3 linked regions of the Xenopus tropicalis genome follow. The protein of the gene in region 1 purifies or fractionates together with the protein of each later gene. This does not show direct contact. Links are inferred from orthologs where the notes say so. Each region holds a gene or a part of one and is shown in the gene's direction. Other genes may lie near its edges. The genes, in order: cops6, fbxo7 and klhl42.

Region 1 (3,353 bases):
TTCTCTACATTATTCTTTAGTGAATACTGATATTTAATTCACTGTATAATGCAGCCTCTTCTAATTTCCTTATCATTTACAGTAGGGGGTACATTATCCCTTATAATACATGAGTGATACTCAGTTCCCTGTATAACTCAGCCTGCAGCCTTGTGCCTTTATATGGGCACAGAACCCCTCAGTGACTGCTAATATCCTTATCATTTACAGTAGGGGGTACATTATCCCTTATAATACATGAGTGATACTCAGTTCCCTGTATAACTCAGCCTGCAGCCTTGTGCCTTTATATGGGGGGCACAGAACCCCTCAGTGACTGCTAATATCCTTATCATTTACAGTAGGGGGTACATTATCCCTTATAATACATGAGTGATACTCAGAGTTCCCTGTATAACTCAGCCTGCAGCCTTGTGCCTTTATATGGGCACAGAACCCCTCAGTGACTGCTAATATCCTTATCATTTACAGTAGGGGGTACATTATCCCTTATAATACATGAGTGATACTCCGAGTTCCCTGTATAACTCAGCCTGCAGCCTTGTGCCTTTAAATGGGCACAGAACCCCTCAGTGACTGCTAATATCCTTATCATTTACAGTAGGGGGTACATTATCCCTTATAATACATGAGTGATACTCAGAGTTCCCTGTATAACTCAGCCTGCAGCCTTGTGCCTTTATATGGGCACAGAACCCCTCACCTCAGTAACTTCTAATATCCTTTATCATTTACAGTGGGGGGTACATTATTATAGTGATAGTCACTAACAGATGCACAGTAGTAGAAGCGAAGCGATACAGGTTCCCAGCCGACCAATCGGCACACAAGACTTCCTGCAATGGTTGCTCAGTACTCCTCTAGTTCAGGGCGTAGAGTTGCACCAGAGAGCAGTTAAACATCCCTATGCTTTTGTTGCCCCACTATAATTTTCTAGGCCACCATGCTTCTAGCGGAACTGTCCTACACTTTGGCCACAGAAGAAGCAGAGAGGATCGGGGTGGATCACGTAGCCAGGATGACCGCCACGGGAAGTGGAGAGAACTCGACAGGTATGGGAAGGCGTCTGAGACTGAAGGAAGGGCGGGCAGTGCCTCGTACTGTCCTTAGTGTAAAACACCTCCTGTTCTGTTACAGTGGCGGAGCATCTCATAGCTCAGCACAGCGCCATCAAGATGTTGCACAGCCGCGTCCGGCTCATCTTGGAATATGTTAGGGCGGCCGAGGCGGGTAAGTAACCAATCACCTTTATACATTGCATATATTCATTGCACCCTGAATGCACTTCCTGCATCTCAGAGCCTCACTTCCAATCACTTCCAATCTTTTCCTTACTAGGGGAGGTGCCGTTTAATCACGAGATTCTACGAGAAGCCTCTGCTCTGTGCCACTGTCTCCCTGTCCTCAGCACGGACAAGTTCAAGATGGACTTCTATGATGTAAGTGCGAATGTTCCCTTATTTGTACACTTACCCACGTGAACAGTGTTATGGAAGCAGAGAGAGTACAGGAAAGGACAAATAAATTAATAAAGGGAATGATGATTCTGATGCTCGGCCCAGTCGAGGTTACACTGGACCAGCGACCCCTCTGTATAAATATCCTGTTTTGACGTAATGCTGACATAACTTGCTGCTCCACAATAATTCGCTTCACTCCCTGACCCAGCAGGCTTCCATTCTAAATTCCCCGTCACAATCACACACAAAGCAGGGTCAGTTTTAGTAGTTTTTGGAGAGATTTCAAGCAGTGTACCCTGATCAAAACAGATTTTGCAATCCTAGCTGTGCCAGGCAGCAGTGCTAACATATAAAACACAGAAAGGATGCTAATTTACTGGTCGATAAACCCCTCCCTTATTGTTCTCTCTCTTTCATTCGCCAGCAATGTAATGATGTGGGCTTGATGTCTTACCTGGGCACTATCACCAAGACGTGCAATACCATGAACCAGTTCGTCAACAAGTTCAACATCCTTTATGACCGCCAGGGGATTGGCCGACGTATGCGCGGTCTCTTCTTTTAGGATCCGGGGTTTTGGCTGGCATATGCGTGGTCTCTTCTTCTAGGATCCCTGGGTATTGGCTGGCATATGCGTGGTCTCTTCTTCTAGGATCCCTGGGTATTGGCTGGCATATGCGTGGTCTCTTCTTCTAGGATCCCAGGGTATTGGTCGGCATATGCGTGGTCTCTTCTTCTAGGATCCCAGGGTATTGGTCGGCATATGCGTGGTCTCTTCTTCTAGGATCCCAGGGTATTGGCTGGCATATGCGATGGACTCAGTAGAACAATTACACAGCTCCCATGCCTGCGTTAAGTGACTCTGTAATAGAACATCCCGCCTTCGTTCTTTTTTTGGTTCTTAGTCCAAGAGACATGGACAATAAAGCTTGATGTTAACACCTACAGACTGAGTGCCTAGTGCCACATTTATTGGGGTCACTACTGTCCGACTCTTTGAAGGGTAGGTCGTGAGGCTCTGTTGGTGGTGGTCAGGTTCTTTAAAGTGCCAGTGGCACAGCTGTTGAGAGTAAAGGAGGCTATACAACGTAAGATCTGCTCGCTTGGAGAGGTTGCCAAGTGAACGGATCTTCTCCTCCTGATATGTCCACCTATGGGTGGGCAATATCGGGCTAATTAAAACGGCAGTTCAACAAGCCAATGTGGTTTCCGATCCAACGTAAAAATCAGACCTGCGCGATTGAGGTCGGCCAGATGTTGGTCGGGGAGGCTAGTTGGTAGCGCCCATTCATGGGCAGATAAGCTGCCGAATCAGTCTAAATGGCTGATATCGGACACACCTAGAAGTATGGAGATTTATTGATGATGACGTGAGAGCCAAGGTTTTGGTCACATTGGAGTGATAAGTCTCTCTCAGTTTAATGGTGGGATATTTTCGGAAGTGGCGACCCACATTGCAGTGATCAGTTGGTTTGGCCAGTTAATGTAATGAGCAGCTCTGCATTTGGTCAAATCCCCATGGAAATATGCTCACAGTAGATGGTTTTTCGGATGGAAAGTCCCTCATTCCCTGGCTATTAGTACTCTGCCTGGATCCTGTGTGCAGTCTGTAATCTGGGGGACTTTGCCCAGCAAAAAAAGTAGTCTGGTTGATCTGACATTCCATCCAGTTTGTGATATCGCGTAGTTTACACAGTGGCAGGTAGGTGGGTTCAGGTCGGCCCAACTGGTCCCACACATGACTGTCTGCCACTGGCTTACCATTGCTGAGACGAGGTATTATGGGAATGGGAGCTGCTCTACAGCGAGCCCACGCACACACCGTTCAGGGCTGAATCGTCGGATAAGGAAGTAGAAACAATAGGAATTCTGCCCCTATCTGACGATTCGGCT
Region 2 (4,208 bases), about 140 Mb from region 1:
TGGGATAGGGACCTTAGATTGTAAGCTCGCTGGGGCAGGGGCTGATGGGAATGGGATAGGGACCTTAGATGATTGTAAGCTCACTGGGGCAGGGGCTGATGGGAATGGGATAGGGACCTTAGATTGTAAGCTCACTGGGGCAGGGGCTGATGGGAATGGGATAGGGACCTTAGATTGTAAGCTCACTGGGGCAGGGACTGATGGGAATGGGATAGGGACATTAGATTGTAAGCTCACTGGGGCAGGGGCTGATGGGAATGGATAGGGACCTTAGATTGTAAGCTCGCTGGGGCAGGGGCTGATGGGAATGGGATAGGGACCTTAGATGATTGTAAGCTCACTGGGGCAGGGGCTGATGGGAATGGGATAGGGACCTTAGATTGTAAGCTCACTGGGGCAGGGGCTGATGGGAATGGGATAGGGACCTTAGATTGTAAGCTCACTGGGGCAGGGGCTGATGGGAATGGGATAGGGACCTTAGATTGTAAGCTCACTGGGGCAGGGACTGATGGGAATGGGATAGGGACCTTAGATTGTAAGCTCACTGGGGCAGGGACTGATGGGAATGGGATAGGGACCTTAGATTGTAAGCTCACTGGGGCAGGGGCTGATGGAATGGGATAGGGACCTTAGATTGTAAGCTCACTGGGGCAGGGGCTGATGGGAATGTGATAGGGACCTTAGATTGTAAGCTCACTGGGGCAGGGGCTGATGGGAATGGGATAGGGACCTTAGATTGTAAGCTCACTGGGGCAGGGGCTGATGGGAATGGGATAAGGACCTTAGATTGTAAGCTCACTGGGGCAGGGACTGATGGGAATGGGATAGGGACCTTAGATTGTAAGCTCACTGGGGCAGGGGCTGATGGGAATGGGATAGGGACCTTAGATTGTAAGCTCACTGGGGCAGGGACTGATGGGAATGGGATAAGGACCTTAGATTGTAAGCTCACTGGGGCAGGGACTGATGGGAATGGGATAGGGACCTTAGATTGTAAGCTCACTGGGGCAGGGGCTGATGGGAATGGGATAGGGACCTTAGATTGTAAGCTCACTGGGGCAGGGACTGATGGGAATGGGATAGGGACCTTAGATTGTAAGCTCACTGGGGCAGGGACTGAAGGGAATGTGATAGGGACCTTAGATTGTAAGCTCACTGGGGCAGGGACTGATGGGAATGGGATAGGGACCTTAGATTGTAAGCTCACTGGGGCAGGGACTGATGGGAATGATGCAGAATATGTCGGCGCTATATGAATAAAGGATAATAATACAATATGTGTTGCCTGAAGCGATAGCCAATCAGAAGCCGCTCGTGTTCCTTTACTGAAGCCTTTCTCTTCCCTCAGGGACGCGCAGCCAATAAGAATGAAGCTGAGGGTGAGAGTGAGGAAGCAGACCAATCGCTTAGAGCTGGAGGCGGAGAGTCCGACCCTGGGAGACTTGCGCAGTAAATTATCCTCCGTCACCCTGCCGGCTCTGGGCTACAGGTAATGCGCTGCCCCCCTGGGAACAGACATACAGCAGGGACACTTACCCTTTAATTATTATATCCTTCCTTTGCAGCACTGAGGCAAATTTCACCATCACACTGAATGGCAAAGATGCCCTGACTGGGGATCAGAACACTCTGGAGTCTGCGGGGATCATCTCCGGGGATCTGATTGTTGTGGTACTGCCGGACTCTCAGCTGCCCCCGCCGCAGCCAGCTCCTGCTCCGGCCCCCGATAAGCGGGATCTTGGCTGCCCCCTGGTGGATCCCAGCCAACCCTGCAGCTCGACTAACAAGAGGCCCAAGAGCCAGTCAGATGATAGCACAGGAGCCCAAGCCATGGCTCAGGTAATGTGTGCTGAGATACTACTGGTAGTACTGGTATTCCTGGTTTACTCAGTAGTAGGGATGGGTGAAATAATTCTCTACTCAGTAGCCATGGGGCATGAGACATGGGGCATGAGACATGGGGCCGGAGACATGGGGCAGGAGACAAGGGGCATGAGACATGGGGCCGGAGACATGGGGCAGGAGACAAGGGGCATGAGACATGGGGCAGGAGACAAGGGGCATGAGACATGGGGCATGAGACATGGGGCTGGAGACGTGGGGCAGGAGACGTGGGGCAGGAGACGTGGGGCCGGAGACGTGGGGCAGGAGACGTGGGGCAGGAGACGTGGGCAGGAGACGTGGGGCAGGAGACGTGGGGCTGGAGACGTGGGGCTGGAGACGTGGGGCAGGAGACGTGGGGCAGGAGACGTGGGGCAGGAGACGTGGGGCAGGAGACGTGGGGCAGGAGACGTGGGGCAGGAGACGTGGGGCAGGAGACGTGGGGCAGGAGACGTGGGGCTGGAGACGTGGGGCTGGAGACGTGGGGCAGGAGACGTGGGGCCGGAGACATGGGGCAGGAGACATGGGGCCGTAGCCATGGGGCAGTAGCCATGGGGCAGTAGCCATGGGGCAGTAGCCATGGGGCTAGAGACGGACAGGCTTATCTAATGCCCATTGGTTTTGCTGCCAGGCTGCCCAGCAAGCCCCTCCCTCAGCGGAGGACGTGGCCATGGAGGATGGGATGTCGGGCCCGGCCTGGGAGGTGATGCTCTGCAGCGAGGCACTAGATGGGAAAATCCCCCACTCCCTGGAGGTTCTGTACCAAACTGCCGGCTGCACCGGCGCCAGCGACGCGTTCATAGTCGCCATCCACCTACTGATGCTGGAGACTGGCTACTTACAGAAGGTAGGGAGTCAATATGGCCCCCCCCATCCCAGGGATCTGTGATTGGTGGGTCGGTAACCCTTCCTTGTCCCCCCCCAGGGTGCTGAAAGCAAGGTGCTGTGTATGCCGCAGGATTGGCGCAGCGGGGGGGCCTACAGGCTGCACTACACTCACCCTCTGTGCGCTGAAGTCTCGGCCACCTTGGCTTGTTTGCCGATGGGCAAGCTGGTCATAATCAATGGTGAGTATTACTTGTACTTTATCCTTCCTCTTCCTCCCAGTCTGCCAGCCCCCTGCCTTCATCTGCTGTCTGTACTGCCCCCTGCTGTGTGTGTGGCACAGGAGCATGTTAAAGAGTTAGTGCCCCACCTAGTGTACATGCATTGCATTGCAGCCTTGTATTAAAGCTCCTTCTCATTGCTCTGGTATATTCCCCCCCCCCATTCTGTTTATAGGAACCATGTGACACCAGGTCACCCATAGCACCTATAAACTCTGAATTCTAGGGTGACAGTTGCTCTTCCTGTTTGTATTCATTGCCTACAGCAGGGGTCCTCAAACTTCTTAAGCAATGGGGGGGCCAGACCACCACCTACCCCAGGGGGCTGGAACCGGCCCGTGGGCCACAGTTTGAGGACCCCTGGCCGACAGCATAGGCTCACATCTTGTTGCAATATGGCTGCCGCCATCCTCATTTCTCCTCTTTTGCACGTGCAGCCACCCTGAAGATTAACAGCGAGATGAAAAGTGTGCGGAAACTTCAGCTGTCGACCAATTCCTACATTTCCTACCCCGAGACAGGTACGGGGCAGATTCCGCCGGTAAAGGGGGTGCGGGGGCCAAAAAAATTGTCAGGAAAGGGTTAACGGATGAAGAGCCGGGATCAGAAGTTTATGTCTAAACACAAGAGCCATGCGTTTTCTGTAAACGATATCCTTTTAAATGGTGCTCTGTGATGTCATCAGTTATAATTGGTGCTCAGTGATGTCATCTGTATCACATGATGTGTTATAATAAATAAGGTACCCCCTGTTGTAAAATAGTCACCTTATATTCCGTTCCATGATCTGTATAAAAGCACTCGGCCTTTGGTGTTGTGCCTTTATATGGGCACAGAACCCCTCAGTGACTGCTAATATCCTTATCATTTACAGTAGGGGGTACATTATCCCTTATAATACATGAGTGATACTCAGAGTTCCCTGTATAACTCAGCCTGCAGCCTTGTGCCTTTATATGGGGGGCACAGAACCCCTCAGTGACTGCTAATATCCTTATCATTTACAGTAGGGGGTACATTATCCCTTATAATACATGAGTGATACTCAGAGTTCCCTGTATAACTCAGCCTGCAGCCTTGTGCCTTTATATGGGGGTCACAGAACCCCTCAGTGACTGCTAATATCCTTATCATTTACAGTAGGGGGTACATTATCCCTTATAATACATGAGTGATACTCAGAGTTCCCTGTATAACTCAGCCTGCAGCCTTGTGCCTTTA
Region 3 (4,737 bases), about 130 Mb from region 1:
TCCTCCAGCTCCACTCCCCAGCATCCTGCAGCTCCCCCCAGCATCCTCCAGCTCCCCCCCAGCATCCTTCAGCTCCCCCCAGCATCCTCCAGCTCCACTCCCCAGCATCCTGCAGCTCCCCCCCCAGCATCCTCCAGCTCCCCCCCAGCATCCTCCAGCTCCCCCCCAGCATCCTCCAGCTCCCCCCCAGCATTCTCCAGTTCCCCCCCAGCATCCTCCAGCTCCACTCCCCAGCATCCTGCAGCTCCCCCCAGCATCCTCCAGTTCCCCCCCCAGCATCCTGCAGCTCCCCCCAGCATCCTCCAGCTCCCCCCCAGCATCCTCCAGCTCCCCCCAGCATCCTCCAGTTCCCTCCCAGCATCCTCCAGCTCCCCCCAGCATCCTCCAGTTCCCCCCCAGCATCCTCCAGCTCCCCCCAGCATCCTCCAGTTCCCCCCCAGCATCCTCCAGCTTCCTTCCCAGCATTCTCCTCAACATCCTCCCAGGTAGGGAGGGCTGTTAATGTAAGTCATTTCTATTTGACGTTCCTAAACCTGAGTGTCCCCTCCCAGCCGGTCAGTTATAGCTCCTAATGCTAACCAATAATGGCTGCACAAATATGGCCGCCGCCGCCTCATAGAGGGACATGGAGACCAGATAGGTAATATAAATGCATTGGGCAAACACTTCTATGGGCAAATAAATAAATGTACAAACAGTGTCATGACAGTTGCAATAAAGGGTTTAATTTCTGGTGTCAGTATCTCTTTACGGCTTTTACAGCTAAAGTCTCTCAGTTGGGCGATAAAGGCTGAACTCCAACTACTATGTAATATCTGCTAGGGTTGCCTGTTCCCATGGGGATGGCGTCTGGCAGGGATATAGCCCTCCCATAGAGAATCCCAGCTGCACATATAAGGCCAGTGTTTATGGGGCATGGGGGGGAAAACACAATATGGGAAGGGGAGGGGCCTGTCTATGAAGCAGACGCTTCCATGAGGAGGTGCGTCTGGCAATGGGGGCGTGTCTTTGCGCGGCTTGTGGTTATAAGAGGGGCAGGAGGCGTGTCAAGTACGTGTTTGCGTATAAGTGGGCGTGGTCCCTGGCACGCAGGTGGAGGGGACTGGGTTTTTTACAAGCTTCTGCACATTCAGGAAGTGAAATGCCTGGATGGTCAGTTTGTATTGGGGCGTTCTCTCCATGTTGGGTAAACGGAAAGACTGGGCAAGGGGGGCAAGTGGGGGCAGCCAATGGGGCTAGAGCTGCTGGCACAATGAGCTGAATGGACAAGCTGCACAGATGGGATTCTCTCTCTTTCTGGACTTTCTTGTTACTCAGTTTGCTGAGCTGAAACGGGACCGGCTGATGGGTGGGGAATCCAGGTCCATTCTCTAGTTGGGCAACTGTTCCTGATTGGAGGGTGTTGCTTCTGGGCTGTTATTTTTGGAGTATTTTTCCAAGAGATTCCTTAATTGTCATGGGTGGGGGGTGTAAGGAACATTGGGCATTTCCTTTATTGGTTCTCTGCCTGATATTCTTATGCCCAGAGTGGGTGCTTGGTGCCCAAGGTTCTTGTAGGTATGGGTGTTTGATGCCCTGATTAGGTGCCCAAAGTTCTTGTAGGTATGGGTGTTTGATGCCCTGATTGGGTGCCCAAGGTTCTTGTAGGTATGGGTGTTTGATGCCCTGATTGGGTGCCCAAGGTTCTTGTAGGTATGGGTGTTTGATGCCCTGATTAGGTGCCCAAGGTTCTTGTAGGTATGGGTGTTTGATGCCCTGATTAGGTGCCCAAGGTTCTTGTAGATATGAGAGTTTGATGCCCTGATTAGGTGCCCAAGGTTCTTGTAGAAACAAGGGTTTGATGCCCTGATTAGGTGCCCAAGGTTCTTGTAGGTATGGGTGTTTGATGCCCTGATTAGGTGCCCAAGGATCTTGTAGGTATGGGTGTTTGATGCCCTGATTAGGTGCCCAAGGTTCTTGTAGAAACAAGGGTTTGATGCCCTGATTAGGTGCCCAAGGATCTTGTAGATATGGGTGCTTGATGCCCTGATTAGGTGCCCAAGGTTCTTGTAGATATGAGAGTTTGATGCCCTGATTAGGTGCCCAAGGATCTTGTAGATATGGGTGCTTGATGCCCTGATTAGGTGCCCAAGGTTCTTGTAGATATGAGGGTTTGATGCCCTGATTAGGTGCCCAAGGTTCTTGTAGGTATGGGTGTTTGATGCCCTGATTAGGTGCCCAAGGTTCTTGCAGATATGAGAGTTTGATGCCCTGATTAGGTGCCCAAGGTTCTTGTAGCTATGCGGTGCACAAATAGTGTGATGTTTTTATGTTGGTAGATCCCTTTTCTGGTTCCATTTCTGGGTTCTTGAAGGCATCATGCATGTATAAGTGATGTCCTCTGTAGAAACAGTTCAGATACTGTTGGGTTCTAGGTGTTACTCTGTACCTAGGGAACAGCTGGTGGCTCAGAGTGGTTTCTTCCAGTCACTGTTCCGGTCGGGCATGAGGGAAAGTCATGGGGAACCAGTGACTCTGCATGGGCTGACCCCTGAGGGCCTGGAAGGGGTTCTCCGCCACATCACTGGGGGTTCCCTTCTAGAAGCTCAGGGGGGTTCCGAGTTTGGTTTCCAGGTTGTTTCCTTGGAAGATCCAGAACGTTGCTCACTGGAGGATGAATCAACATGCGGCCTGGAGTCATCGGGCCCTTTACAGGCTGTGGTGGAAGCCGCATCCTACCTACAGGTCCAAGGTCTTCTGTCTCTCCTGCAGTCCTCCATGTCCCTGGACACGTGTCTGGATATCCTGGAGGTGGCGCAGTTGCATGGCCAGTGGGATTTGGCTTCGGCAGCTCTACATTTCATGGCTGCTCATTACCTTTCTATGTTGAGGAGGGAAGACTTCCAGCAGAGCCCAAGGTCCCTCAGAACTCGTGTCCTGGAAGAGAGGCTGAGAGGAACCCCAGCCCTTATGGTCCTGTCCCAACAGGGCCCTGACAACTGGGTGCTACTAAGGTACCTGGAAGGGGGAGGCGGTTGGCAAGTCATGACCGGAGAGGTCCCACAGAGTATGCTGAGGGTGCAAGGCTATGGGGCTACCACACTCCATAACTACCTGTTTGTGGCTGGAGGTAGGAGGGACAATGGGCAAGAGATCAGTGCCGTGCACTCGTACAACCCGAGCAACGGGTGCTGGACCCAGGAGCCCTCCATGAACCAAAAGAGGTAATCAGGTGGGGAATATTGTTTTCCTTAGTCACTTTGCTTTTCTGTTCTGGTTCTGTCCTATGAAGCTATGGCCACTGAGGAGCCCAGGATGCCAGTCTTTTATTCAGACAATTGCCTGGTTGCTTGGTCAGTGACCCTAGCAACCCCTAACTAGTTTAAAGTCTTATTTTACAGGTTATCTTCAAATCTGTCATTCACACCGCTTCCTGATTGCTAGGGGGAAATATACTGCTTGTGTTTGAGTAGCATTAGCTGTGGTGACTAGTGGACCAGGGCATTTTGACTGCTGGTGTTTTTCACCTGTGAAGCTACCGCAGGCCTTCGATTTCTGTGCACAAAATAAAATATTTTGTGGTTTACTTCCCCTTTACATACCAGGTGCAAGGTTCCACTCCAAGTTCTAAACTTGGATGAACTCATATAATAAAATAAATTTATATCCTGAGTCCTGTATTGAGAATCTAAGCACACCTTCTATTTTATCATCTATAGGAACCATATTAATTCCCCTTGTTATTGAACTACAACTCCCATCATCCTGTCAAACTGACATGCAAGGGAAATAGCAAGGTGCTGAATTGTGCTTAGTACAGGGGAATCCCTATGTGCCATAGTTTTATGGTATCTCTCTGTACAGGCTATGAGCAAACTTAGGGGGCTGTTCATGCTGAATTGTGCTTAGTACAGGGGAATCCCTATGTGCCATAGTTTTATGGTATCTCTCTGTACAGGCTATGGGCAAACTTAGGGGGCTGTTCCTGCTGAATTGTGCTTAGTACAGGGGAATCCCTATGTGCCATAGTTTTATGGTATCTCTCTGTACAGGCTATGAGCAAACTTAGGGGGCTGTTCATGCTGAATTGTGCTTAGTACAGGGGAATCCCTATGTGCCATAGTTTTATGGTATCTCTCTGTACAGGCTATGGGCAAACTTAGGGGGCTGTTCCTGCTGAATTGTGCTTAGTACAGGGGAATCCCTATGTGCCATAGTTTTATGGTATCTCTCTGTACAGGCTATGAGCAAACTTAGGGGGCTGTTCCTGCTGAATTGTGCTTAGTACAGGGGAATCCCTATGTGCCATAGTTTTATGGTATCTCTCTGTACAGGCTATGAGCAAACTTAGGGGGCTGTTCCTGCTGAATTGTGCTTAGTACAGGGGAATCCCTATGTGCAGGCTATGAGCAAACTAAGGGGGCTGTTCCTGCTGAATTGTGCTTAGTACAGGGGAATCCCTATGCTGCCATAGTTTTATGGTATCTCTCTGTACAGGCTATGAGCAAACTTAGGGGGCTGTTCCTGCTGAATTGTGCTTAGTACAGGGGAATCCGTAAGCTGCCATAGTTTTATGGTATCTCTCTGTACAGGCTTTGAGCAAACTTAGGGGGCTGTTCCTGCTGAATTGTGCTTAGTACAGGGGAATCCCTATGCTGCCATTGTTTTATGGGATTTCTCTGTACAGGCTATGGGCAAACTTAGGGGGCTGTTACTGCTGAATTGTGCTTAGTACAGGGGAATCCCTATATGCCATAG

What was found.
Region 2: the proteins of cops6 (region 1) and fbxo7 purify together in Homo sapiens (affinity purification with mass spectrometry; 4 studies listed by BioGRID and IntAct, counting the BioPlex papers as one, with this or other methods). This does not show direct contact. The link is inferred for Xenopus tropicalis from reciprocal best matches to the Homo sapiens genes COPS6 and FBXO7.
Region 3: the proteins of cops6 (region 1) and klhl42 purify together in Homo sapiens (affinity purification with mass spectrometry; 3 studies listed by BioGRID and IntAct, with this or other methods). This does not show direct contact. The link is inferred for Xenopus tropicalis from reciprocal best matches to the Homo sapiens genes COPS6 and KLHL42.

What each region holds. Positions count from the first base shown.
Region 1 is NC_030679.2:144,237,076-144,240,428, reverse strand, and holds the end of cops6 (COP9 signalosome complex subunit 6), read left to right. Parts: intron 1-937; coding exon 938-1,052; intron 1,053-1,137; coding exon 1,138-1,230; intron 1,231-1,338; coding exon 1,339-1,439; intron 1,440-1,884; coding exon 1,885-2,025; 3' UTR 2,026-2,407; downstream 2,408-3,353. UniProt on the Homo sapiens protein: Component of the COP9 signalosome complex (CSN), a complex involved in various cellular and developmental processes.
Region 2 is NC_030679.2:7,492,618-7,496,825, reverse strand, and holds part of fbxo7 (F-box only protein 7), read left to right. Parts: intron 1-1,348; 5' UTR 1,349-1,367; coding exon 1,368-1,489; intron 1,490-1,565; coding exon 1,566-1,839; intron 1,840-2,512; coding exon 2,513-2,728; intron 2,729-2,806; coding exon 2,807-2,948; intron 2,949-3,424; coding exon 3,425-3,508; intron 3,509-4,208. UniProt on the Homo sapiens protein: Substrate recognition component of a SCF (SKP1-CUL1-F-box protein) E3 ubiquitin-protein ligase complex which mediates the ubiquitination and subsequent proteasomal degradation of target proteins and plays a role in several biological processes such as cell cycle, cell proliferation, or maintenance of chromosome stability.
Region 3 is NC_030679.2:10,512,540-10,517,276, forward strand, and holds the start of klhl42 (kelch-like protein 42), read left to right. Parts: upstream 1-1,071; 5' UTR 1,072-1,557; exon of another isoform or gene 1,558-1,583; intron 1,584-1,602; 5' UTR 1,603-1,853; exon of another isoform or gene 1,854-2,033; 5' UTR 2,034-2,373; coding exon 2,374-3,203; intron 3,204-4,737. UniProt on the Homo sapiens protein: Substrate-specific adapter of a BCR (BTB-CUL3-RBX1) E3 ubiquitin-protein ligase complex required for mitotic progression and cytokinesis. The BCR(KLHL42) E3 ubiquitin ligase complex mediates the ubiquitination and subsequent degradation of KATNA1.